Linked DNA regions of Styela clava. Each later gene encodes a partner of the first gene's protein in a complex. Links are inferred from orthologs where the notes say so. Each region holds a gene or a part of one and is shown on either strand. Other genes may lie near its edges. The genes, in order: methylmalonyl-CoA mutase, mitochondrial-like; methylmalonic aciduria type A protein, mitochondrial-like.

Region 1 (12,088 bases):
CAAAGAAAATTAGAATAACTTTGATTACTCAATATAACAAATTTTTTCGAAAAGCAATACTGAAATATTAGATTTTATTCCTTGACACACACCTTAAGTCACATGAGACAAATCTGAGATAAACTCAATTCAATTGAACATAAATTCAATTAAATTCAGTTTAGTTTATAAGATGGCTCATGCCTAAAAAACAAAATTGCACCTCAAACTTTCCCTCTCCACTAATTGGGACTGAATAGTGCAAGTTCTCAGAGATTGCTTGCTTGCAACTATTCTATCAGGGTTTGTTTATTTAAGCATGAAGAAAATAAATCAAAATTGAACACTTACTAACCTGAATTCCAGTTTTGCAATACTGGATGCCATCAGCAATTGTATAGGCTAATTCAAGAACGGTGTCAGCACCGGCTTCTTGCATATGATAACCACTGATAGAAATACTGTTGAACCTGAAACATAAATCTTATGGTGAAAATGAATTCTGATAGTGCAGATGTCAAGGATGGCCAGGGGGTTTACCCGAAGTATGTGAATCAAGATGGCGGACACCGGAATGTAGTATGTGCACCAGGTTAGGGTTAGGCCCTAATTTCAGGTACAAATACTACGAGAGCCACTCGGCTAGTCCCGGTAATAGAACTAAAATAAGAAAAATTGGAAAAAAACTATGGCCCAACCCTAACCTGGTATGCATACTACGTTCCGATGTCCGCCATCTTGGTTCACATACTTCAGGAGTAGCGACCAGGGTGTGTGTGAAGGGGTTCAGTGAAAGTGTTGAGGATTATAGAACAAAATGCTGGATGATGGAAGTGAAATTAGTCAGAGTTATGCTAAAAACATTAAAATCTTCAATCATGAAAAAAAATTTGAAAGAGAAATGTTACCAAAAAAATACAGATGTGATTTTGATTGAGTAGTGTACAGGACTGCACACTATTCAATTAATAGAAAACGTAGTGCCATAGACATGCCATGACATTGGGGAACTGAAGTTCGATTACTTCTGCCTCTCTCGATCAAATGTGCCTTTGCATGTGAGCTAGCTCTCAAATGTACAGCAGATTATAACAAACAAACACAACTTCCAGAATGTATGTATTACTTACTTTGGCATATTATTTGAAGTGAACGCGAATATATCCGATATTATCCTCATTGATGGTTCAGGAGGATAGATGTAAGTGTTTCTTACCATGAATTCTGGAAAAACAAATACATGATTCATACAAGGTGCATCATATTACCGGTAATATCAAGTTATTTTTGCAGGACAAAGTACCGGCATCACAGAACATCTTCTGTGGCTTGGGCCATAGATGTGGTTGAAAATGGAAATTTTTACCACTCACTGCTTGTGTAAAGTGAAATCTTAGCGGGATATAAATATTGTTTTAAATATTTTGAATGAAAACTGTTTTACATCAAGATATTGATTTGATAAAAATCATGATCCACTGTCAAAAATATACATATACAGAGTTGTAAAGTTGTATTTGCAAATTTCTTATAGTCTGTAGTTTGAAATTTCTAACTCTAATGCTTTTCGGCCAAGGGCTAAGAGCACTTTTTGCTAATAATAATCGCAGATCTTAAGGAAGGCCTATGACAACGGTTTCCAAAGAGGGCGCTAGTGCACAACGGTGATTTGCTAGGTGTGCCCCGAGAATAAACATAATTGTGTTAAACATAACTAATATGGGATTGCATATTTTACATATTGTATTTATTATAAATGTATTTTTTTTGCTGTGTTATGACTCAATCAATAAATTCATTTTACTATTTTATGTCGCTCACTTTCGGTTACATAGTGCTCTGTTATATTCACAAAATTGGATTTTTATTTGAAGGCAACAATTATTGACATGTTATACTATGACAAAATATTTCTCCCACCTTTCAAAATATCATTCTGTATTGTCCCAGTTAACTTATCAGCACTCACACCCTGCTCTTCCCCAGCAACAATGAACATGGCCATGATGGGAATGACGGCTCCATTCATTGTCATTGATACTGACATCTTATCGAGAGGAATGCCTTCAAATAACCTGTAAAAATTCCAATAGATATACTGTTCACATCCAATCCACTGATTTTTATAAGTGAACTGCCAATGCAAATAAGACAAGCAGTAACATTCCACCTGTATGTTACCTAATTTATTTACCTTGTACAAGATTATGGGCATGGGACAGGCCAATCCAATGTGCTAACACTATGCCATTAACTTTTACCATGTCCTGGTATGCCTATTGCATTAATAAATTATACCAATCATGACCAATGCCCTAATGGTCACCAATGTAATAACCAATAATAGAATTCCCAAAGCCCTCTTCCACATCAACTTATATTTAATTGTAATAAAACTCAATGTTACTAGATAGAGTATATTTATTAGATTCATGAGTGGTTTCAGGGTATCAAGAAGGTCGACGCAGAGGAGATATTTCGGGGAATTTATAAATGGCTACATAGTGGATAGCGGAAACTTTACATGACACTCCAAATTTTGAGCCTATGATGCAGTCATTGACGGACTAACTGAAAGAAATAAAATTGAGCATCCAAAACACATGAAAGAACTTATTATATATGGTGTCAATGAAGTCTCTAAATTTTTTTCAAATTGCAAAGTGAATTTATCGATTCCATATATTGCTTTGGCCTTCATAGATGTATTAAATGAAGTAAAAATAACAATTACTGATCGAAAAACAACAAACCCGGTATTGAGAACTGACTCCATAACAAAATTGGACACTTTATGGTGGACACCCTGTACCCACTCCTATTCCATTCAAATATCAATCTAGCTTACTTTTTCATGTCTTCCACACTGTCGATTGCAACACCAGCCATTCCAACATCTCCTTGCACTCTTATATTATCTGAATCATATCCTCTGTGGGTTGCCAGATCAAAAGCAACACTCAGTCCTTGCTGCCCAGCTTTTATATTGTCTCTGAAAATCATTTCAATTTGAATGGTAAATTCACCCGTTTAATGAGTTTTCTCCAAACATAGCTCTGAAAGCCATTTAAATGGCCATTACCAACTTTAGTGCCAAGAGATTGTTCTAATAAAGGAGTGTGCAACATTTTTTGTCGGTGTGCGGTGTGGGCCAAATAACCAACTTAAGACATCTAGCTGGACCACACAAAAAATTTAGCGAAAGGCCATCGCTTAGCCTCACGGTAATAAAGAGCACCGGCCACTGGGCAAAATGGCGCAAGATTTTTTAGCGCAGCGACAACAGTAAAAAATCCCATATGTATTTTTACCCATGCCTTTTTAAACATAAAGAAGCAGTAACAGACTCACCTATAAAATTTATTACTTTGTTCAACAGTGCTAAATCCTGCATATTGCCTGATAGTCCAAGGTCTGTTTGTATACATCGTGGGATATGGTCCCCTGGTGTATGGATATTTGCCTGAAAATTTAGTAAATATTTTTTGTTTTGCTTATGGAAGGAACAAGGAAGACAAGAAGTCACTGAAATAGAAAAAGCTATTTTTGGAAGAGGGTTGGTCAGGTTCGGCATTGCCCAAAAACTTTATAAATCAGGAGTGGATATGGGAATTAAGACTGGGATCTTTAACCAGACAGAACAGTTCAACCCAGGGGTGAGCGTGCCCACCTAAACTGGCTGGCCATGTAATTGTGACGTAAAAAGTTACATTTTATGCGCAATATTTACAGTGTTACAAAAGCAAAAGTGGAAAACAGTAAGCCTCATGCGAAAACTAAATTTAATTGCAATCTCATTATATAACTTGAGCTATTTTTAGCTAAAACGTTTGTTTGGTTGTGGCAACATCAGGCAGACCAGATTGAATTACCCAATGGGCCGGATTTGTTCCTGGGCCTGGATTTGGCCCGCGGGCCATAGTTTGTCCATATCAGGCCTAGATGGTTAGTATGAAAAATACCTGGTAATTCATCTTCAAAGTTGCTGGAGTCATCTTTCGAATAAAGTGGTTTCACTTTAATGCCATCTGGTGTTGTCCATGTTAATTTCTTATCTGGGTCAGCTCCTTTTAACTGTTTTGTTGCCAAAGCCATCCATTCTTCATTTAAAGGCAGCTGAGGATTTTTGTTCGATGAAGAGCGGATGGATTTTAGGAATAATCGTTTAACGTTTGCTATCTTTAACAAATCCTTTGTAAAAATTATTCTATCCATTTTAGTTTCTACAAAAGAAGACAAATCACTTGAGTTACAAAATTTTAATACTGAGTCAAAGTAAGAAAACACATTATTTAACATGAACAAATAAAAATATGAATCGAGACATAAATTAGAGGTTTGGGTTACCTTAGTACCATTCGGACTCAACCACCAAAAACAACTCAAGCATAACTATTCGGAATAATGTTATCTGAATATGCAAGTGCTGATGCTGTCACTTTTTGCTTTGTTTTCGGGCTTGAGCTGAGACTTATTTTGTCGAATAATAAGTTATCACAAATCGACAATTGAGGCAAGTTCAATATGTTCAAAAAATTTAATACCAGCATATTGATGTTAACTGATAGCCTAAAGTCATTTCAGTGAAAATGATAAGACGGTAAAAAAGTAATTTATATGAATTGACATTAAAACATGGATACTCCCGTAGTGTGTTTACCATGTTAGGGTTAGGGCATAATTTTATACCGATTTCCTTATTTTAGTTCTATTACGAGTTCGGGGACTGTCTGTGTTAGCCAAGTGAATATACCCCCAGCCCATATGTTTCAGTCCTTTTACACAACTTGATGTAAAGTAGGCGAACGAAAATAGTTACTGCCAGATTGGTACACACACTCCTGGAGCACCAAAATATGATTAGGTATAACAAGGATGAGAAAAATTTAAGCTTGTGCTTTCTCTTTGGGATGTCAACACCAGTGTCATAAGCATAACCAACAACAATATCAAACGCATCATGTGAGTTTGCTATTGTAATTATGATTTTTAATATTTTAACCGGAACAGCAAAAATTAAAACAAGGGTACTTGTAGAACTTGAAGAGTTTTCATAGCTAAATTTACAGCAGCCTTCCCTTTATCTGTATCTGGTAAGTGGTATTATATATTTGAAAATATTATTTTGCTATTATTTTCTAAAATTACCAAACACTTATTATGAAATTACACAGCAAAGGACAATTATACCAAAATGCAGAACAGGTATTTTACAGAAATGTCTCAAAAATATAAAAACTGTATTCCAAAAAAAAAGATATTATAACATAGTAGGCATCTCTAAATTCATTTTCTAACGGATTGCTCTTCAACTAAAGATATAAATGAATGTGCAAAATGAATTTTAAACAGATACAAAAAAGCACCATAGTCAGTAAGATTACTCAAAAGAAAATATATCACAATAGCGAGTGTACAAATTCATGCAAAACAATATGTGTCCGTTGTGCTGTCGGAGCGTTAGGAACATACCACACATAACATTCTACAGGTTTCAACCTCATGGGGATGGTTATATGCAAGAAGATTAGTGTAGTTTTTGTTATCTTAGTGTGGCTTACATGACCTCTGCCCTTATATACCAAGCCCATATATTAATCTGGGATCTCATCTATTATTTATAGTTCTCTGACATTTGAGCAAACTACAACACATTGAATATGCAAATGATTAAATCGGCTGCAGAGGCCAATTTATGAACAACATATTAGACATATGTAAACATTGTTAATAAGGTGATTACCGCATCATACAATGGACAACAGTGAAGAGAAATCAGTGCAATGACCCTACACCATGTTCTCGTTAATTGTCATAAGTTAAATAAGAATTAATAAAAGCCTTTTTCAATAACACAAATTTCACAAAAAAATATACACTTGACCAGCAAGTTTGGAACGCAGTAATGAAGGCAGTTTTATTTTTACAAAGAAAAAGATGACATTTATTTAATTAGGCTAAAAATGTTGGTAATTCAGTGACTTTCAGATCAATCAGTAGCTTCTATATTCAAAAGTGAAAAAAATTATGCTGAATAAGCAAATAATACTGTTTGACAGGATTTTAATAAAAAAATTCTGCACTGACTCCATATTTAACAACTAAATCCTGTATAAATTCAACCTTTAGGTTGTCAATGCAATTCTTATATTCAGTTGATGAGCGATATTTTACAACGTCAAGACTGGCCATGTGTGGCAAGTGAATGACAAAACCATAAGGTAAAACTAAAAATTTAAAACCTAAAGCATCCAGTTCCATTATATGAGAAACTTTGTTCCAACCGAAACCGAAAAATCTTTTATCATAAGCCGGACAAAGATGTTTCGGTAACACAACATAAGGTTCAAAATCCTTTGTTCGATTTACCGAGTAAATCTTATTGGAATTTCTCCATTTTGTATAATTTGTTGCGGCATGGCCAACCTTCCACATGTATGATCGGAAAGGTGTTATTACACCTCTATCCCATTGGTCTATCAGTTCAGATTTCGAAGGCGGAAAATCAAACTTGTGCCACAAACTTTCAAAAGCAGGAATAATAAAAGCAAACTTTGAAGAATTTGGATACAATGGCAAGACAGCATTTTTCAAATGCTCATATAAATTATCAGAAGGTAAAAAATCAACATCACATAAAAATACAAATTCAGTAACTGCTTGCTGCCAAGCAATATTACGCAATAGATTAATAGGATAAGAAGTATCATCAAAATTCTGAAAAACCAAATGAAAACCAATATTTCTACGATTTGATAATGTGGGAGAAATTTCAATATGTTTAAGTAATTTTATTGTGTCAGAATCGCTTAGAAAGACTGCAACACTGATCGGACCTTCCCAATGTTTACATATAATATCTAACATTGGGATTCGATCTATCGATAAGTGAAGAGTTAAAGTAACATCTGTGTGATCGGAAGAAATGTAGTCAAAAGGAAGGTAATATAAATGTGTTCTACGCAGCTGTACACTTTTATGCAACATTTCTTGACAAAAATCTTTGCTAAATTCTTCTCTGCTTTCTTCTACTTCGGTGCATTTGCCAACAGGATTGCGCAATAGTGCACCATCATACACTGCGTAACTATAAAACATGTTTTGGAACAACGAGGCATGAATGTTCTGTAATTCATTTTTAAATGGTGAATTCCAATGTAGAACTTTGATACTTGATATATCTTTCCCATAACACGATTCTGAATTTGTATTCATAGATAATTGAACATTCCAGAAGCAGGGAAGAATAAAAACAGTATCTTGATGTTCCTTAATCACAGCGTTTATTATATCTTGGTCAGCAAGGGCGGTTGCAGAAAATGTCAACAGTTCTTTTTTTGTTACACTTTCCCATATTTCGTTCCATTTAATCTGTCTCAGTTTTTCACAGTGTAAAAGCATCAAGCCTGTGTTGAAGCCACGTCCCAAGGCAGGCCAAGGATGTTTGGTCACTTTGCCTAAATACCAGTCCGACTGGTTTTCAACCAGACCAATTACTTGGTTGTCAACAAATTGAGAAAACTGATCCCAGAGTTTCCCAATATCCTCTAGAAATATTAAATCGATGTCCAGAATTATTACTTTATCAATTCCCACTGGTAAAACATCCAATAACAGTAATTTCATTAGGCCGTAAACACCAGAATAATGCAAATTAGGAATCCAGGACACTTTTGGTTCTAATTTATCAGCAAGATAGAAAGAAACCGTAAAATCCGAAACATCCCATGTCCGAAACAAAGTACCCAATATTTTCTTAGCAGGTGCATCGACAATAAAATGCATATGAATGGGCAAGTGTCTGTGAAAAAGCACAGATTTAATCAAAGTAACGACTTCTCTACTCGCTTTATATCCAGCACAAACAACTGCAATTTGTATCGTTTCACATTTTTCCGCTTCTTCTGTTAAAAATCCATTATACACTTCTACATGAGACTCCTCCGCCGTTTCAAAATATGACATTTGTCTGGGTTTTTTAATCTTATTAGTTCCATAAAGTAATGACGATTTCTTTATCTCAAAAACTACAAGAATAAGTACCAAGATGCAGAATAGTAGAATCAATTTTCTTCTTGTTGTGTATCTCCAGAAAGTAGCATTCATGCTTCCAGCCAACCAGTGAATGTTTTACCATTGTTCACATATTTTTAATATAGGAAATATTGCCGAGTGTCATAATAATTTCAACTATTTTAAAACAACACTGTTACTGAAAAAAGAAAAGTACTTGTCAAGATGTTTGCAATCCATGGCACAAATTTTCCTTTCCCATAAAATTTTTCAATCAATTAACGATAGCACTCTCATAAGCAGAAAGATGGAGAAAAACGCAAACACAATTATTAGAGTTCTGCTGATTATTGAAGATTATGAAACTTTGGAAATGAAAACATTCAATAAAATAGTCATTCAATAATCAACAACCAAAGTATGAATATCAATTGTAAATGTTAACACAAGAAAAAATAGGCTACCGAATAAATTGATTGTTTGATTGATTTGATAAACAAGACATAGTAGGTGCATGTCATGCTGCTAATAGAAATAATACAACTATTATTCTTGGTGCCTCAGTGTTTTTCTATATTGCTCCAGTTCCAGGATAACCTTTAAAATATGTTCCTTTTTGCATCACAAAAAGAATAAGAAACTGAAATAGAAATGACAGTAAAAAATATCCTGTCAATTTAACGTGTCTTGGAATACCAAATAAAACACGTCACCAGCATTTTGCAGTCTGTAATATAACACAAGAAACAAGCAGAATCAAGATATTTAAAATACCAAATTTTGATTTATATAAACTGTCAGAATACAGGAATAATGTCACTTCAATCAAGATAGAAATATTCTGATAATTCGCTTTATCACGTAAGTTATATCTTCTATGCAAGTGTGATAATGTACAGCACTGAACCAAAAAATTACCTGCAATTGCTCTAAAGTTAATTCCTATTTAACAGATCTTGTTTTGTATTTTCAACGCATTTAGTAAATTCTGCAACAGTTTTAGAACAGTTTAAAATTTTTTTGGGGTTTTCTGCGTAACACTGTAAAACAGAATCTCGAAAACTCTCACATATTGGTTTTAACGAAGGTTTTCTAAGTTTACTTTCGGTTTGATTGACAGCGTCCTCAAATTCTTGAATAGTGAGGTCATAAAAGTTTTTATGTTTTTGTTTTTCATTTTCCAGTTTATCCTTCCATGTTTCCACCAAATCAGTCATCTGTTTTTCCCGCTCCTGCAGCAATTCTCGAGTTGCAGTTGCAACCCTCTCGACTTCCTCCAGCTTTTGTCGCTCTTTGACAATAACATCAGCAGCCGCCTTTCTAACCCGCTCGACATCTTCGTTGTTTTCGTTCTCCGTTTCTTGGCTAAGCATTCGGTCCAATAAAGCCGGAGATAGCTTAATCCCATCACCTGTTAATACATATTTGTCGTCTTCTCGTTCCAATGTAACGTCGCTACTTCCAGAATTTCCCATTTTATAATAATTTCAGCAATGCGACCTTGAAAGTCGACAGAAACAGCAATAGTCTGAGAGCAAATTGTGTAAACTGACCAAGCATGACAATATTTTTGCACGTGACTGTATGCTTCATTGAAAATCGCAGGAGAGGTCAAGCGCATTGTATTTTTGGACACAGAGAAAGATTTTAATTATTTCTTCAACCAAAGTAGAATAGCAGTCATCGAAATAATAGAAATTATAACAATAAAATAATTTGGTATAGATAGGAGGGAGTGATACGACCACGCGATCATCAAAGTCAACTCCCCCCTCACACTACTATGTTTGAGCAATGACATTAAACAACATGATAGGCAACTCTGACGTCACTCCATAAGACTACAGGCAAAACATTGTATTTCGTGATACGCTCCAATGCACATATTTCTCGTCGCCTTTCGCGTCCGTTTTCCGCTCGCTTTTGCTACTCGGCGTCTTTTTTACGTGTAGTACCTGCCTTTTGCGCCTGTAACGAAACAAAATAATCTCTATATCTAAGAAGTTTTGCTTACTTGGAAAGCTGGAATAACAGGCAAGCTGTAAAGAGCAATTCTGGACATCATAGTGTTTTTTTTTTTATCAGAGAAGATTACAAACGCGATAGCGGAAAGATTTGTGTGGAACATTTTGCAGATAATGACAAAGTTCAAAGTTAGTAATTTTAATGTTTGCGCTTAATCATTGAAATTTCATTTAAAGAGGGTGTCATACAAAACTGTTCTGCGATACAATTCCATAACACAAAGTTTGCACCTATCGAACTTGCTTTTGTAGGTGAATTTATTAGACATATTACATATTCAGTTAATCGTAGGTAACATTGCTGGTACATAATGCATCGTAGATAGGTTTGTTTAAATTTAGGAATTTAGCTCATACCCCACTAATTAATATTATCTTCTATGCAGGAGGTTGCAGGGCTGAATTCAGCTTGCAGCCTTACCGATCACCTGACGATGCTCATTTAGTTTGGCTCGAGCAAGTCTTCTTGAAATGCTTGTGTGGATGGAAACTACCTATATTTTTTGCCTTCCTCCGATTTTAGACAAATTTATTCTGAGGGATTTCGCATATAATTCTCACTGATTGTTGGCTGTTTATAATTCCTATTGATTGTGAATTCTGATTATAACAATGAGTTGAAAATTTTTTTACCTAATTTACTGGCACCTTTTTCTTGTCAATACTCCAAGCTGAGGTAATAAACATGACAATACATTTATGTCATCTGGAAGCAAAATATGCACACTAATTAATAGTTTGGCACATTGAGATAATACATCATGACAGAAAATACAAGTTAAAGATATGTATGACCATCACATGGTAATTAAAATTAAAAAAAATTAATATGGGCTGTGGAGTATGGAAAGTTCAAGACAAAGAAAAGAACAAATGTTCATAGCTCATGAACTCTCAATTTTGCCTCCATTGCTTTGTGAAGGCCAATATATTTCGAGTGGCTGAATTGGTTTACCTTTATGATAGCAACGATTTTGTATTTAATATAGCGAGATTATTTCAATTTAATTGAAGTGATATAATTTCCCAAAGCAATGCTTGAATCGTCTAGAATAGATCAGTGGTGTCAAACTCATGGGTTTTCGAGAGCCGCATTGCATTTTGAAAATTGTAAAAAGAGCCGCAAACAGTTTTTGATAATGTATACTTAAAAGATATTTTTAAGATAGTTTTAGTTTGTGACATATATTGTGATGCAACTAAACAGTTGGATTAAGTTTTATTATTTTCTTCAATTTCAAATGCAATTACATATTAATATTTGCATTCCACTATTATTGCAACATTTGCAAGTTACAGTATTTATTATAAAAAATCGTAAAATTCTATGTACAACCATCAAAATCATTTTTGAACAAGCTTTGAATAAGGAAAGAATAATACATACACTAAAAATAACTTAATCTAAATATATGAACCTAAAATTAACAAAAATACTACAGTATAAACTCAATGTTTTAATAATTACATTTGTCCTGGCATTTGGCATCTTTTTTGTGTCACCAGCATACTAAGGCCAGTCTGAAATGATTTTATAGTACCAACTCTAACTAACGAGGCCACATGATCATGGGTTTATCTGGATCTTTACGAATGTTTAATTAATTCCAGTAATGCAAAAAAGTTACTTTTATCATTTCATGTATAGATCAGTAAAAAAACAAATGACAGATTTTTTCGACAAGACATTTCGCACTACATTGCGTGGCATAGGATTGCTTGAATTATTATTGATATTGATTTTCAGTAACTAAGTCGTTGTATAATTATATTAATATACAAACACATGGAAATTTTCTGTTCGAAGTTGGTCTTCGAATTTGTCATATTGACTGCTGAGCTTATTGTGTTTTTTGATTGTATTGATGGAAATATGACAAATTAAACAATGTGCTTCAAAATTTTGTGAAGAGCAAAAATGTTACAACTCCCATTTTCTTCGAAAATGCCACCTTCTTCATGTACTTTGCGTTTAATTTAATTACTCAAGTGTTTTATTCAAGTATTCTTTTGCTAGCTTGATGTGTATTCTTAATTGGGTCAAAATGTGGACAAAAAAATTAATATTCCAA
Region 2 (11,968 bases), on another chromosome or scaffold:
TGGTTGTCTCTACCTGACGCCGAGATCAGAAATTGAAGAGGCAAAGCGAAACCGAAACGATTCTAATTCTTTTAAAATCTGTGTTTAATCTGCCTTCTTTGGATTGAATTTACGCAAAACCACCTTTAAAAGGCGATTTCAAAACATACAATGTTTCTTTACCTGTGCTAAATTTTCTTGTGAGGTATCTGATTGGTTGTCTCTACCTGACGCCGACTCAACTCTAATTGGGACCAATTCGTGATTTATTGTCGATGTAGAACTGGTACCATCTATAAAATAAAAGCATCTCATAAACAAAAATTAAACAGTAAAATACACAAAATACTGATAAAACAAACTATTATATCATAAATATAAGTGTGTTTCTTATGAGCGACATTCTTTCGGTAAATGACCCATGCACCATGAGAAAAATTCAATAAGAATTATTTACATATTGTCATGTGTTAAGTACACGAATAATTGAAAAAATACGTACAAATGAACAAAATCATATATTAATTATTTAACGATTTAATCCAGTTGCTTCAGATAGTATTCAATTCGATTTCAGAGAAAAAAAATATTTAAAGTGTGCCTTGTGATAATAGGCCTATATATTTATATCAGAGTATCCACTTTCTAAATCCAATGTATGCCTACGAATATGAAGAGCAGATCGACCTTAAGATTCAGTTAGATCAGAAATAGAATTAGGAGGCTTGAAATTATTCTTCACAGATTATTACTGCTAATCTACACTTATTTATCATATATATTATTAATTTATAAGTATTATCCTTATTTTGCAGCTCGTTAATAAACAAGAGGTTATATAACAATCATTTCGACACTCAAATACCCCTCAGAATTCAAAATAAGCCCTGATTATGTCACATAGTAGAACAATATTTAATAACACACAAGCATGTAAATCACTGTTCCAAATAATTTCCGAAATAATAATTTCAAATATGGAATATCAAATATATATACAAATCTGAAATGGTTATTACATAATAATTAATAAAATGATAAGGTGTAAACAATGTGTCATGTTCTCTTTTAAACAAGAACATACGTTTGATTCAAACTTCATTTTTTGTCCTAAATGCTCAAGATGACAAATTTTTTAATGTATAATCTAAGATCTATTCAAAATCAGGAATTAATCAAAATTTTTTAATACACTTGAATATCATCTCTTATTTTCAGACTTCCATGATAAAGATTCTACTTTAAAATTCATCAGAACAGTTCAAATAACAAGCCTATTTGAAAAAAAATTACATACCGGACGCAGTAGTTTCAACAGGTGTTAGTGACGATGTTCCTGTCGTATTTTCTAATAAATACAAGCTATCTTCATTCGTGCCTGCCGTAACACCTTCCCTATTGTTTGCCATCCTATTTGAAGTGAATACGGCAACTCTCTATTATTTAAAGATCGTTTTATTTGTCCGCACGAGAGAGAGATGACATAAAAATTTGACGTACCTAGCAAACAAAAGCAGGTAAGGTTATTTGTAATAATCGTATTGAAATAGTGAGATTCTCTATAAAGAGTAAACTTCTCTAAGTAAACAAGAAGTCACATTGAGTCAATGGGGAATACATTTTACACTATTATGAGTGTCATGGGACAATGTTATGTTTCCACGACAATAAGCTTATTTAGAAAATTACAGGCTTCAAAATATGAAAATACAGACTTATTAAAAATTTATGACTCTTGAATAAATCGTGTTCTCTCAGTACACATACATAAATTCACTAGTTTTTCTAAACTGTTATATTTTCAAAGAATATACATGTGAGACCTGTCTTATAACCTCTTATTTATTCATTTTGATATCTAATGAGACAATTAAACACACAATGATGTTAACTAAAATGCTTAAATGTCCATTATTACACGAAAGACATAACTTTGCTCAGTGATAAATCTTATTTATTTCTGATTGCGCATGAGATTACTTTGTGCAAATGACCAATAAAAAATCGATTTAATATAACCTCAATAATTGAGGCATAATCTGATTTCTAAGTTTAGTTATTATACTGCATTTCTAGCAAGTAGACATAACAATTTTGGAAAATCATTCTATAAAATCTTCTAGCGACTATTCCAATCCATCTGAAGTCTACTGACCTTCATAGCGCAATATAACGATTTATATATCACGATCTAACTGTTCCACAGAGAATACTGGTATGTACGATCAATATCACCAAACCTTCAATCATTGATTTAATATAAATACACGGATGGATACCCTTTCTTTTTATCTTTTTTTATTTTTGTGGAATCAAGTTTAAGGAGTCTCTCATTTGTAAAGTACTATAGTAAACCTGAAGTTTAACAAATAAAAACATTATCATTATCAAACCTAGTTAAAATATTTGTTTTGTATATTATTAGTATGATCCATGCATGATCAGACCATAATTTATTGAAGCAAAAATAAAAAAGGCAAACAATAGGTCAAGTCACACGTGAAACTATATTTAATATTCGCAAGTTTGAGCCATCTTTGTTAGATATAAGCTGTAAAATTACCCAGCTATTACATGTAATTCAATACACAACTTATTTTTAAGCCCTGTCCAACCTTGAAAAACCATGTAAATGCCAGGTAAAAATTACCACAATATAATGGGATTTTTATTAGCATACTTTGCATAATATAAGTTATATAGTACCGGCATTTATATAAGGATATTCAATTTAGAAAACAATAATGAAACAATAAATGCTTTCGCTTTCACAGGCATCAAAATTGCAAGAATAAGTTACATTCTGTGTCGGACATGCATTAAATAAAGTTCCGCTATAAGCAAACTAGTATTCTTTAGCAAGATCTGACCGCATGTTACATATACATATGTTCAGAATATTACCACCAGTCACACTCAACTCTTCTTAGAAGAATTCCAGAGCCTAACCAGAATGCCCTGCCTATATGCAACAGACTTTAGTAAATTGCATCGGTGGTTTCAGATCTTTGATCCAAACTCCATCAAGTAATAGGAGCCAAACTTAATTCCTTAATAGGATAATACCTTCTCGTTCGGAGTATTGTTCAAAGTAAACACAAGAAATACCTATCCTACAAAACTAGACTAAGCCTATTGAATCTTAATAGTTTATATCGACACCTCAAAACCAAACAGTGCTAAGTCCACTTTTCCAAAAAATGACATTTTTCAATTGCTGATTTTCCTGGACTTAGCTCTACATTTTGGTCTATTTGCCTTATCTCGAGGTGCTCTAGATCTCAAGACAGCTATGGACAAAACCCTGCTTTTTTTAGGGCATTTGAGAACTAAACAGAGCTGTGTCTACTATAGTGGACTTAGCTCTTGATAACTGCATTGTAAGTTGGGGCTAAGTCCATTTTTTGGACATAGCTCCTCTCAAAAAATATAATACAAAGCGTTAAGTCCATACCAGCCTCTATAATAACATAATAAAGGGGCCCTAAGTCCAATAAAATTGTTTCTGGTCCAGAAAATTGAGAGCCAAAAAGGGTTAAGTCCAAAAAAAAACCCCCCAAAAAAAATTGGGGCGGAGCACAAATTTTTTTATACCATCTAAATATGGCCTTCATTGTAACTTTGGTGGACCATAAAAACTAGACATCCTTGATGTAAGGTATTAGAGAAATAAAAAAAAGAAACAAAAAAAAAAATGTTTTTTGCGTTTTTCTCAAAACTAGAAAAATGGACTTAGCCCAATTTGGATTTCATGCGTCGATATTACTAAGAGTTTGAAGCAGGGAGTGGCAGCACAAGTGCAGCATTTCCTGAATAGCTTACAACAGGAAATATACATCCAGTTTACAATGCTGGCATGCTTCCGGATATATTTCATTTCAATTATCATGCCATGCATTAAATTTCCTCAGATATAAATTGATATGAATAATGGTAAATTAACGAAGAAATCAAATGTACATCAACTATTTTTTTTCTAGATTTGCGTCCCATGTTTAATAGCATTTCTCCTTAACTAATATTCCTAAATTTGAAAAATGTATCCATAGTCAGTTAATCAATTATTAATTGCAATCAATGCAATTCTGATTGAAATTTTCTACCCTAATGAGCCATATCATATGCCTCGATTACTTTATGTCCTTCATGCATAAAAATCTTTAAATTAATACATATTGAAACCTCATTATCGAATCAGTTTGTCTATAATTGGTCAACTGCCACAGGTTTTTAGTAATTCTGGTCTGTACTATTTAAAATCTCACGGAGGTAATTAGAATTCATTATAAAAATGTGTACCACACCCCCCACTTTAGAAAATATTGTACTTCACTACTTAAGAATGGACAGGGCCTTTTTGCAGCATACATCATGGAAACAAAATAATAGGAAAGTACTAAAGAATGAAGAAAAACGGCAAAATGAACTGCATTCATGTTATCTATTTTTATCATCTTTTTTAAATAAACAGTTTAATAATAAATCTGCTGCAAGGCCAGGAGTCATTTTACAATTTTTAACTTGTTCTTCCAAACTTGGAAGCGCTTTCGATACATCATAATCACTCGCAAAATCTTCCAAAATATTATCTTTTATATGATTCCACATCCAAATGGCTCTTTGATTTCTACGCAATGATTCAAAAGTCCCACTTTTAATCATTTCCTCGTGAAATATTTGCATCACGGACCACAGTTCAGAGATACCTTCTTCTGTTATAGATGACACTCTGCGTACCCGTTGTCTCCAAAAATTATGTTTACGTGGTATAAATTTCAAAGCGCTCGTGTATTCTGATTGTAGTCTTCTAGCAGCTGGAAGTAAATCGCCATCAGCTTTATTTATTACTACTAGATCTGTCATCTCTATAATCCCTCTTTTGATGCCCTGAAGTTCGTCACCACTAGCTGGTGGTATGAGCAATACAAATAAATCAGTCATGTCTGCAACCGCGACTTCACTTTGACCGACACCGACGGTTTCTACTATTATGACATCATAACCAGCGCTTTCACATAATATCATAGCTTCAGTAGTGTTTCGTGTTACACCACCTAGTGTACCCTGAGCAGGTGAAGGACGAATGTATGCTTTCGGATTACGAGACAAGTTTGTCATTCTTGTTTTATCTCCGAGAAGTGACCCCCCTGTTCGACTTGAAGAGGGGTCTACAGCTAGAATTGCGACTTTTAAATCATGTTTTTCAGTAAGGTAGCTTCCCATTGTTTCAATGAATGTAGACTTCCCTGCACCTGGGGGTCCAGAAAGTCCGATTCGAAAAGATTTTTGCGAAGATCTTGATGTTTCCGATATTACCAATTGTAGCAAAATCTGTCCCATCAATTTTTTCTGTTTATTTGTTGATTCAACTAAAGTTATAGCACGAGCGAGTGTGGCCCGATCTTTATTCTTAATTCCATTAGCAAGGTTTCGTATGTAATTAAATTCATAAGAGTCTTTAGGAAATGTCTTTGTGATGTCATAATCACCTGATAAAAATGCGTGCTTAGAGTATGGTTTTAAAGATTTGAATCGAACTGAAAGATATGGAAACGGCCGCAACGACAGCTTTTTGAAAATTAACATATTGGAAATAAAGAAAGTATTCCCTATCTAACAATCATTTGACCTGGAAAAAAAGATATGATTGTAAATGTAAGACAATTCATACAAAATGGAAATTCAATTTGAAATAAATCGTCATGACTTTGAAACTATTTTTAACAAGGACAGATTTTTCAGTTTCAGAAGTTGAATTTTCTATATTCAAATTTACAAATAAGTTTGTCAATATTGACATGAATGCAGAGAGAAACAATTCTTTTATAAAAAAAAATTTACAAACAAATCGTTTTGTTATCTTTCCAATTTCGAATGTTGATAATAAATATTGTTTAATACTCATTTTTATTTTCCATGAGCGAAACTTAGAATTTCTTCGATAACATTTCAAGCTTAATCAGAAGTTTTTTTGTGGAACTGTTTTTCTTTACTCATTTATAAATATTGTTTTAATTAAGACCACCCATTTTAATTAACATTTCCTCATTAATTTGTTTTGATAATCAGATGCCAAAATTTTAATAAAAATTAAAAATAGTGATAATAAGGACAACCAAAAATAGTGTGTTACTGGGAATGGCACAAAAAATAATAAATTTCGGAGCAACATGTGAATATCCATGGAAAATAAATACACACATTTTTATTATGTTATTTGTAACTTAAACTAAGATTTTATACTTAGTAGAATAGGCAAGTTTGAAAATTACACATCTAAACGAAGTTTGATGAATTTAACTGCAAAATTATAGTTCCAATATTCAAAACCAACCAAGTAAATAGCTGCAGCACTTTCTATCAAACGATACGATAGAATACGCAATAACAAAGAATGTTCTAATAAGGAGAGAATTTATATTGAAATGCTAGTAACCGACATGATTGGAATAGTTGACTTCGCAGAGAGCAATATTTTCAAATGAGAAGGATGAAACATCACCGATTTTTACTGAGAAGACAGGGAAACAATGATGTTTTACCAGAATCTACATCTTATTGTTTTAAATAATGTTCCTGTGGTCTTGCAACTTTACGCGATTCTTTTACATACGAAACAGGACATTGCATTTCTTGCCAACTGATAGGCAACATCAGTTCTCCGGCTTCACTACGTGCAAGAACAACACCGAGTCCATTTTCCGCTGTAGTTAACAAATAAGATGATGCATCACCTAGTGACAAAACTTTTGCTAAAACTACATCACCGGGACGAAAACATTTCGGAATTTCAACTTTTTCAATGTCCTTTGCACGTACGTCCTCACGTCTTATGATGCCTCGCAATGGCTCGGACAACCTCGCGTTATTAACGGCTGTAATTAAACATTTTGCAAAGCGACCGCTGATTCCTGTGACTTTACAAGTGACTATGGAATCGATTTGTGGGAGAAGTTGTTGATGGTGCTTGGATCGCACAGATACAGTAATTATATCCTTGTCATTTTGTTCGCTCCGAACCATGCCAGCTAATGATGCAAATATATATCCTCGTTTTACATAAGTTCCAAATCCTGCCCGATGGTGTTCAGCACTTGCGAGACGTTCCCCCGGCACACATATTTGACTGCTTTTCAATAGTTCTGCCATTTTTATTTAGAACTGTCTGGAACTAAAAAAATAATGAGCCATGAAAATATATAGGTAACTTAATATACTGATATAACTGTATAATGGCCAAATACGGGAATAAGCGTTTTCAATTCAATTTTTAATTTAAATCAGTAAATGAACAAACATGCAGAAATGGTCATACAGTCATAGAAGAGCATGGGGGTTTCAGAATGCAGGAATGTGTCATATTGAATTTCATCTAAACCTGCCTACATAAAAAAAAATATGCTGATCTACATGCTATGAATCAATCATTAAATGCTCATTTTAAGTCTTAAATTTTATCATTTCGTCGGTATATATAAATAATAAAAGTCAGCCTGACATCAAATTTGACAGGAACATGGGAAATCCCCCAAAATTCCAATGCATCCACATTGCCAGCGAGGGAGGCATGGCTTTTTCACAAGATCCAACGTGCTACACGAGCGACATATAGCGATAAGAAATATGAATATTGGGAAAAGTCGTTGTTTACAGATAATTTGTATTTTGAATATTTGTATTTACATATTTCAAAAACAATCATGTTATTTTAGATGAGGAATGCAAAATACTTTTGGTTTTAAGATGACAACACGGCACAAGAAAAATGCGAAAATGTAACGGGATTCCCCTACGCTGAAGTACCCTTTGTCATGGTTACAACTCACAACCCTTACGAGGTTCAGCTTCGTAAATATTTCAGTAAATTTAGGTATGCATTAGATTTTATCATTGGGGAGAACAGTTACCCTTTTTAAACTAAACACGAAGGGGGATGGATATTTCTGATTACAATCCAATGTCAAAGTTTTAACTTTCAACTTAATAAACTTATAAATAAATTTATAAATATAAGTTATATATAAACTTACAAAAAAAATTATACTATTATAACTGCCCGTACGAATTAATATTCATGAATAGAAATTTTCAGTCACTTCATATAACTACCTAATCTGAATCATGAGTCAAAATCGGTTACAGTAGTTTGTTCATTCTATTAATCGGTAAAAAAGGTATATTAATCTGCAAAATAGGGAGTAAAATAAATGATAAAATCAGATCAAAGAATAGGAATAAGGTTTAAATTTTTTTATAGAAATGGTTGGTTTTTCTCATCCTAGGATAAGTATAAAAGCTCGGAACATGGTAATGAATATAATAAGCTACAGTCAATCCTGCATTTCTTTTTCATAGATTCACATTATGTCATAGATTTCCAAGTTAAATTTCATAAAAGCAAATAAACAATCGAATGGCGAAAAAGGGCAAAAAAGGAAAGGGAGGGAAAAAGAAATCAAAAAGAGTGAAATGGGATGAAGATTCAGATATTTATCAGAAGAAATTTTTAGGAACGTATGAAATGCAATGCACGCTTGATAAATCCATACCCTGTGTTTGGTTACAAAAAGCATTGAAGAAAGGAATTGAAGATAGAATGTATGCGAGAAAGGTGATTGGTCGAAAATTTTTGCAATAACATTAGCGATTTTTTATTTTTTTTATTTCTTCGTGTTTTATGAACTCGTTTGCCAAAATTCGGCAGCTATATTTATGGCCAGTATTCAGATTTTTGTCTAATATTTCTTTCTATCCGGTTTAGTGTAATATAAAAATTGAAATGGGCCAAAAAGGTTTTTCTCAACAAAATGGTCAATGCTAGGTTTAGAATGTCAGTCAAGGGCTGAATATTTTAATTCAATTTCTAGTTCGTCTGCTACCCTATCCCATGAATAAACACTTCGGTAAAAGTATAATATGTATATGATTTTATAAATTAATGTGGGAAAAAGCCGATACGAGGCCTCATTCAAATGATAAACCATTGTATTGTTACCAGTCATTGTAAGGTAGAAGATCTTCTATTCATCAGAGTAATAATTTGTTTAAAAAATATTTGATTTTAAATAAAATTCTACGCTTCCATTTTAGTTCATTATTGAAGAAGTTGATGTAGGAATGAAAGATCCTAATACTCCTCCGGTAAGGTTGCGACCTGTCGTCCGATCAATTCGTAACGAAAGATTCACTCATGTTCATGAAATATGTTGCTGGGATTTAGAAACAGAACATGATGAAGTTGCTGACTTGGTAATTTTATTTTATTCGTCGACTCATATTTTATTTATTAGGATCAAACATGATCCTAACACTTAGCACGATGCGCCAAACACTGAGCTGTTTTTCATAATATATCACAATAGATAACAATTATAATATCATATTTAAAAATGGTCTTCAGGGAAAAAAATGGGCATTTCAGAAGTATCTATACCAATATGGAGGTAATTAATTTTGTCCACCTACTTTACATCAAGTTGTGTAGAGAGACTGTAACCTATGGGCAGGGAGTATATTCACTTGGCTAACGCAGACAGTCCCTGAAATGGTATTAGGCAGACACTTCCTGAACTCGTAATAAAACTAAAATAAGGAAAATCGAAATAAAATTATGGCCTGGTATACACATTACGGAAGTACCAAAAATGTGTATGAAAGTGAAAAAATATTTGCTTTCTAAATTAATGATAATATTAAATATTTCATAACAGGCACTACTTCTGGAAAAAGGTTTTTATCCAGTAAGAAGAATTGAGCTCATGGATTGTGACATTCAACATTTCACTGTTGCCAGATTTTCTAAAGCATTCAGGGTTTCAAATCTTGTTGAAATCAACTTAGATTACAATGAATTTGGTGATGCAGGATGTGTTGGTTTATGCAATGGACTCAAGAATAACAAGGTAACTGTTATCATTGATGTACTGGGATGTTTAGTAATAGTAATTTGAACCTGACTCCAAACTCTGAGCAATTTAAAAACTATGACTCCAACTTTAGTTTGCGAAGAACTTTTGACTCTTTTGTGGTGTGTTGATCATGCTTTGTCAACATAATTCCTTATTTTCAGTTTTGGCCAAAATTTTGACTTTGATTAAGTAATGAATGAGAAATATAGTACCTTGATATAAGGCTTTATTCAACTTAAATTTAAAGCCCACTCAGAAATTAGAATGAATCTAAAGTAAAATATAACACAAGTAAATGTTATTAAACAAGAAAACAAATACGTATCGAATTGCTGATGCTAACAGTAAGCGGCTCAATAGTTAAATGAATAAAGTTGAAAGAATTAACACACTACATCTACAGTACAGCAATGATTGGTGTCTGATTTAAAATGCTACAGCAATCATCGCTTGACTGCAGATATATATATAAACAAAGGGATACATTGACTTGCATTTTCAAGTTGTCACAGATTAGGACTCTTTTAGGTCTGAAATTTCTACTTCCACCCTTGGGAGTTTGAAACATCCTCCAATATCGATTATAAGATGTGAAAATGCCCACCAATGCTAATGCAAAAGTGTAATTTTACACTGAAAAATTATTCTATATTAAATACAAAGTTATACCATTCAGTGTTTGAAGATTTGACGTGGTAATTTATATCTTATGTCCACATTGCCGGCTCGGCGGTTTGGTAAATCGTTTCAAGCGCTAGGAATACGCTTGCCACCGCACCTCTGATTACCCTGCATTGGTTCGCATGTTCTAATCTTGTGGGGTTATTAACCCTTTCTGTGCGGTGGGCACGTATACGTACCCACGACAAAACTCGCTAGTTTGCGGCGGGTACGTTGATGTACTCCACTGTTTTATTTAGCAATCGGTCGCAAACTGTTGGTCTAGTTTTTCCGGGTTTTAGTTTATTGATAAGAAGTCTTCTTCGAGATTAACATAAGCGACGGTAAATCTCGCTTTCGTTTACCATGGGAATTTTATTTGCGGCGGAACGAGGGAGTATTTTTGAAATTTATGCAAATTTCGGTGTTTTTTGGGTGGTAATAGAAGACATATTATTCCTTCCATCTACCAAAGTATTTTGAGTTAGATAACGAAATTGCTACAGCAATATTATGCTATTGTTTGCCAACCAAGAAGCGGTAACAGTAAAGGATTTAGCGAATATTTCTATTTTTTTTCACGGTTTGAAGTTTCAACACCCAAGAAAAAAAATGCCTTTTTTCTATCCGGTTTGTGACTCAGACCACCCCTTTTGAAAAAATAAAATTTTCAATCGCCAATTGCAAGCTCTTTAAATAAGCTTTCCAACGAGCCGTCAGTGGGCAGCAGAGGATCATTACTTTTTCGTTAGTCGATCGATTAGTTGTGGGGGTACAAATGCATAAAGTCGGTGTAGCAAATACGATTATTTAATAAAAGATAAAAATCGCATGGAAAGGGTTAAATATGTGCGAGAAAATTGCGAGACTCCGAATCGCCATAGCGGTTATGGCTTCCTCCAATATCAACAAACAACTGGGCCATCTAATCTATACCAAATATGGACTGGTAACAAGAGGAGTTGCTGTGGTTCAGAATATGATCAAGCTGTAATATTGACCTTCCTCTCCCCTCTTCATTAGAACTATAAACAATCTATCTTCCTTTATTTCTTCATTTTTATTTGATAGATCATGCTCTCTATCAGCCTCTGTTATTGTGGGTTAACGCCAAAGAGTGGTGAACCACTAGGTGAAGTATTGTGCAAAACAACAGTACGAGAATTTTTTCTTGACGGCAACCAACTACAATGTGATGGTGTTATTGAAATGTTACGATACGCTGCTGCTAACGCTGAACATGAAAATAGTCAACGAATAGAAGAAGAAAAAATGAAAGCATTGATGATTGCTGAAGGAGCATTAGAAAGTAAGATTTTGTGATGATGATATTTTCACTGTTGATAACCGTGTTTTCCCAAAAATAAGACCTACTCCGAAAATAAAACTTAGCCTGAATTTTAAAAATGATTTCAATATAA

Evidence for each region.
Region 2: the proteins of methylmalonyl-CoA mutase, mitochondrial-like (region 1) and methylmalonic aciduria type A protein, mitochondrial-like are in contact, whole or in part, in a crystal structure (PDB 8GJU), measured with the Homo sapiens proteins. The link is inferred for Styela clava from reciprocal best matches to the Homo sapiens genes MMUT and MMAA. Residues at the interface, in NP_000246.2 of Homo sapiens: Lys496, Glu609, Arg610, Glu611, Gly612, Arg613, Arg614, Arg616, Ala635, Thr636, Ala639, Asp640, Gly642, Phe643, Asp644, Val645, Asp646, Ile647, Gly648, Pro649, Leu650, Phe651, Gln652, Glu656, Gln659, Gln660, Val662, Asp663, Ala664, Asp665; in NP_001362573.1 of Homo sapiens: Arg98, Ala99, Ala102, Glu103, Thr106, Glu109, Ser110, Thr111, His112, Ser182, Ser186, Gly187, Gly188, Ser189, Leu190, Leu191, Lys194, Thr195, Met197, Thr198, Ser201, Arg202, Met204, Tyr207, Ile208, Arg209, Pro210, Ser211, Pro212, Arg214.

The regions. Positions count from the first base shown.
Region 1 is NC_135259.1:18,878,384-18,890,471, forward strand, and holds the start of methylmalonyl-CoA mutase, mitochondrial-like, read right to left. Parts: upstream 4,279-12,088; coding exon 3,942-4,278; intron 3,443-3,941; coding exon 3,331-3,442; intron 2,972-3,330; coding exon 2,828-2,971; intron 2,055-2,827; coding exon 1,900-2,054; intron 1,204-1,899; coding exon 1,110-1,203; intron 450-1,109; coding exon 335-449; intron 1-334. Other genes in the region: xylosyl- and glucuronyltransferase LARGE1-like, read right to left, coding at 6,043-8,085; MICOS complex subunit mic25-a-like, read right to left, coding at 8,928-9,467. UniProt on the Homo sapiens protein: Catalyzes the reversible isomerization of methylmalonyl-CoA (MMCoA) (generated from branched-chain amino acid metabolism and degradation of dietary odd chain fatty acids and cholesterol) to succinyl-CoA (3-carboxypropionyl-CoA), a key intermediate of the tricarboxylic acid cycle.
Region 2 is NC_135261.1:9,031,724-9,043,691, reverse strand, and holds methylmalonic aciduria type A protein, mitochondrial-like, read right to left. Parts: upstream 5,570-11,968; 5' UTR 5,566-5,569; coding exon 4,417-5,565; 3' UTR 2,335-4,416; downstream 1-2,334. Other genes in the region: uncharacterized protein LOC120329316, read right to left, coding at 163-272, 1,277-1,388; exosome complex component CSL4-like, read right to left, coding at 6,535-7,128; uncharacterized protein LOC120329759, read left to right, coding at 8,393-8,590, 9,070-9,228, 9,690-9,881, 11,619-11,856. UniProt on the Homo sapiens protein: GTPase, binds and hydrolyzes GTP. Involved in intracellular vitamin B12 metabolism, mediates the transport of cobalamin (Cbl) into mitochondria for the final steps of adenosylcobalamin (AdoCbl) synthesis.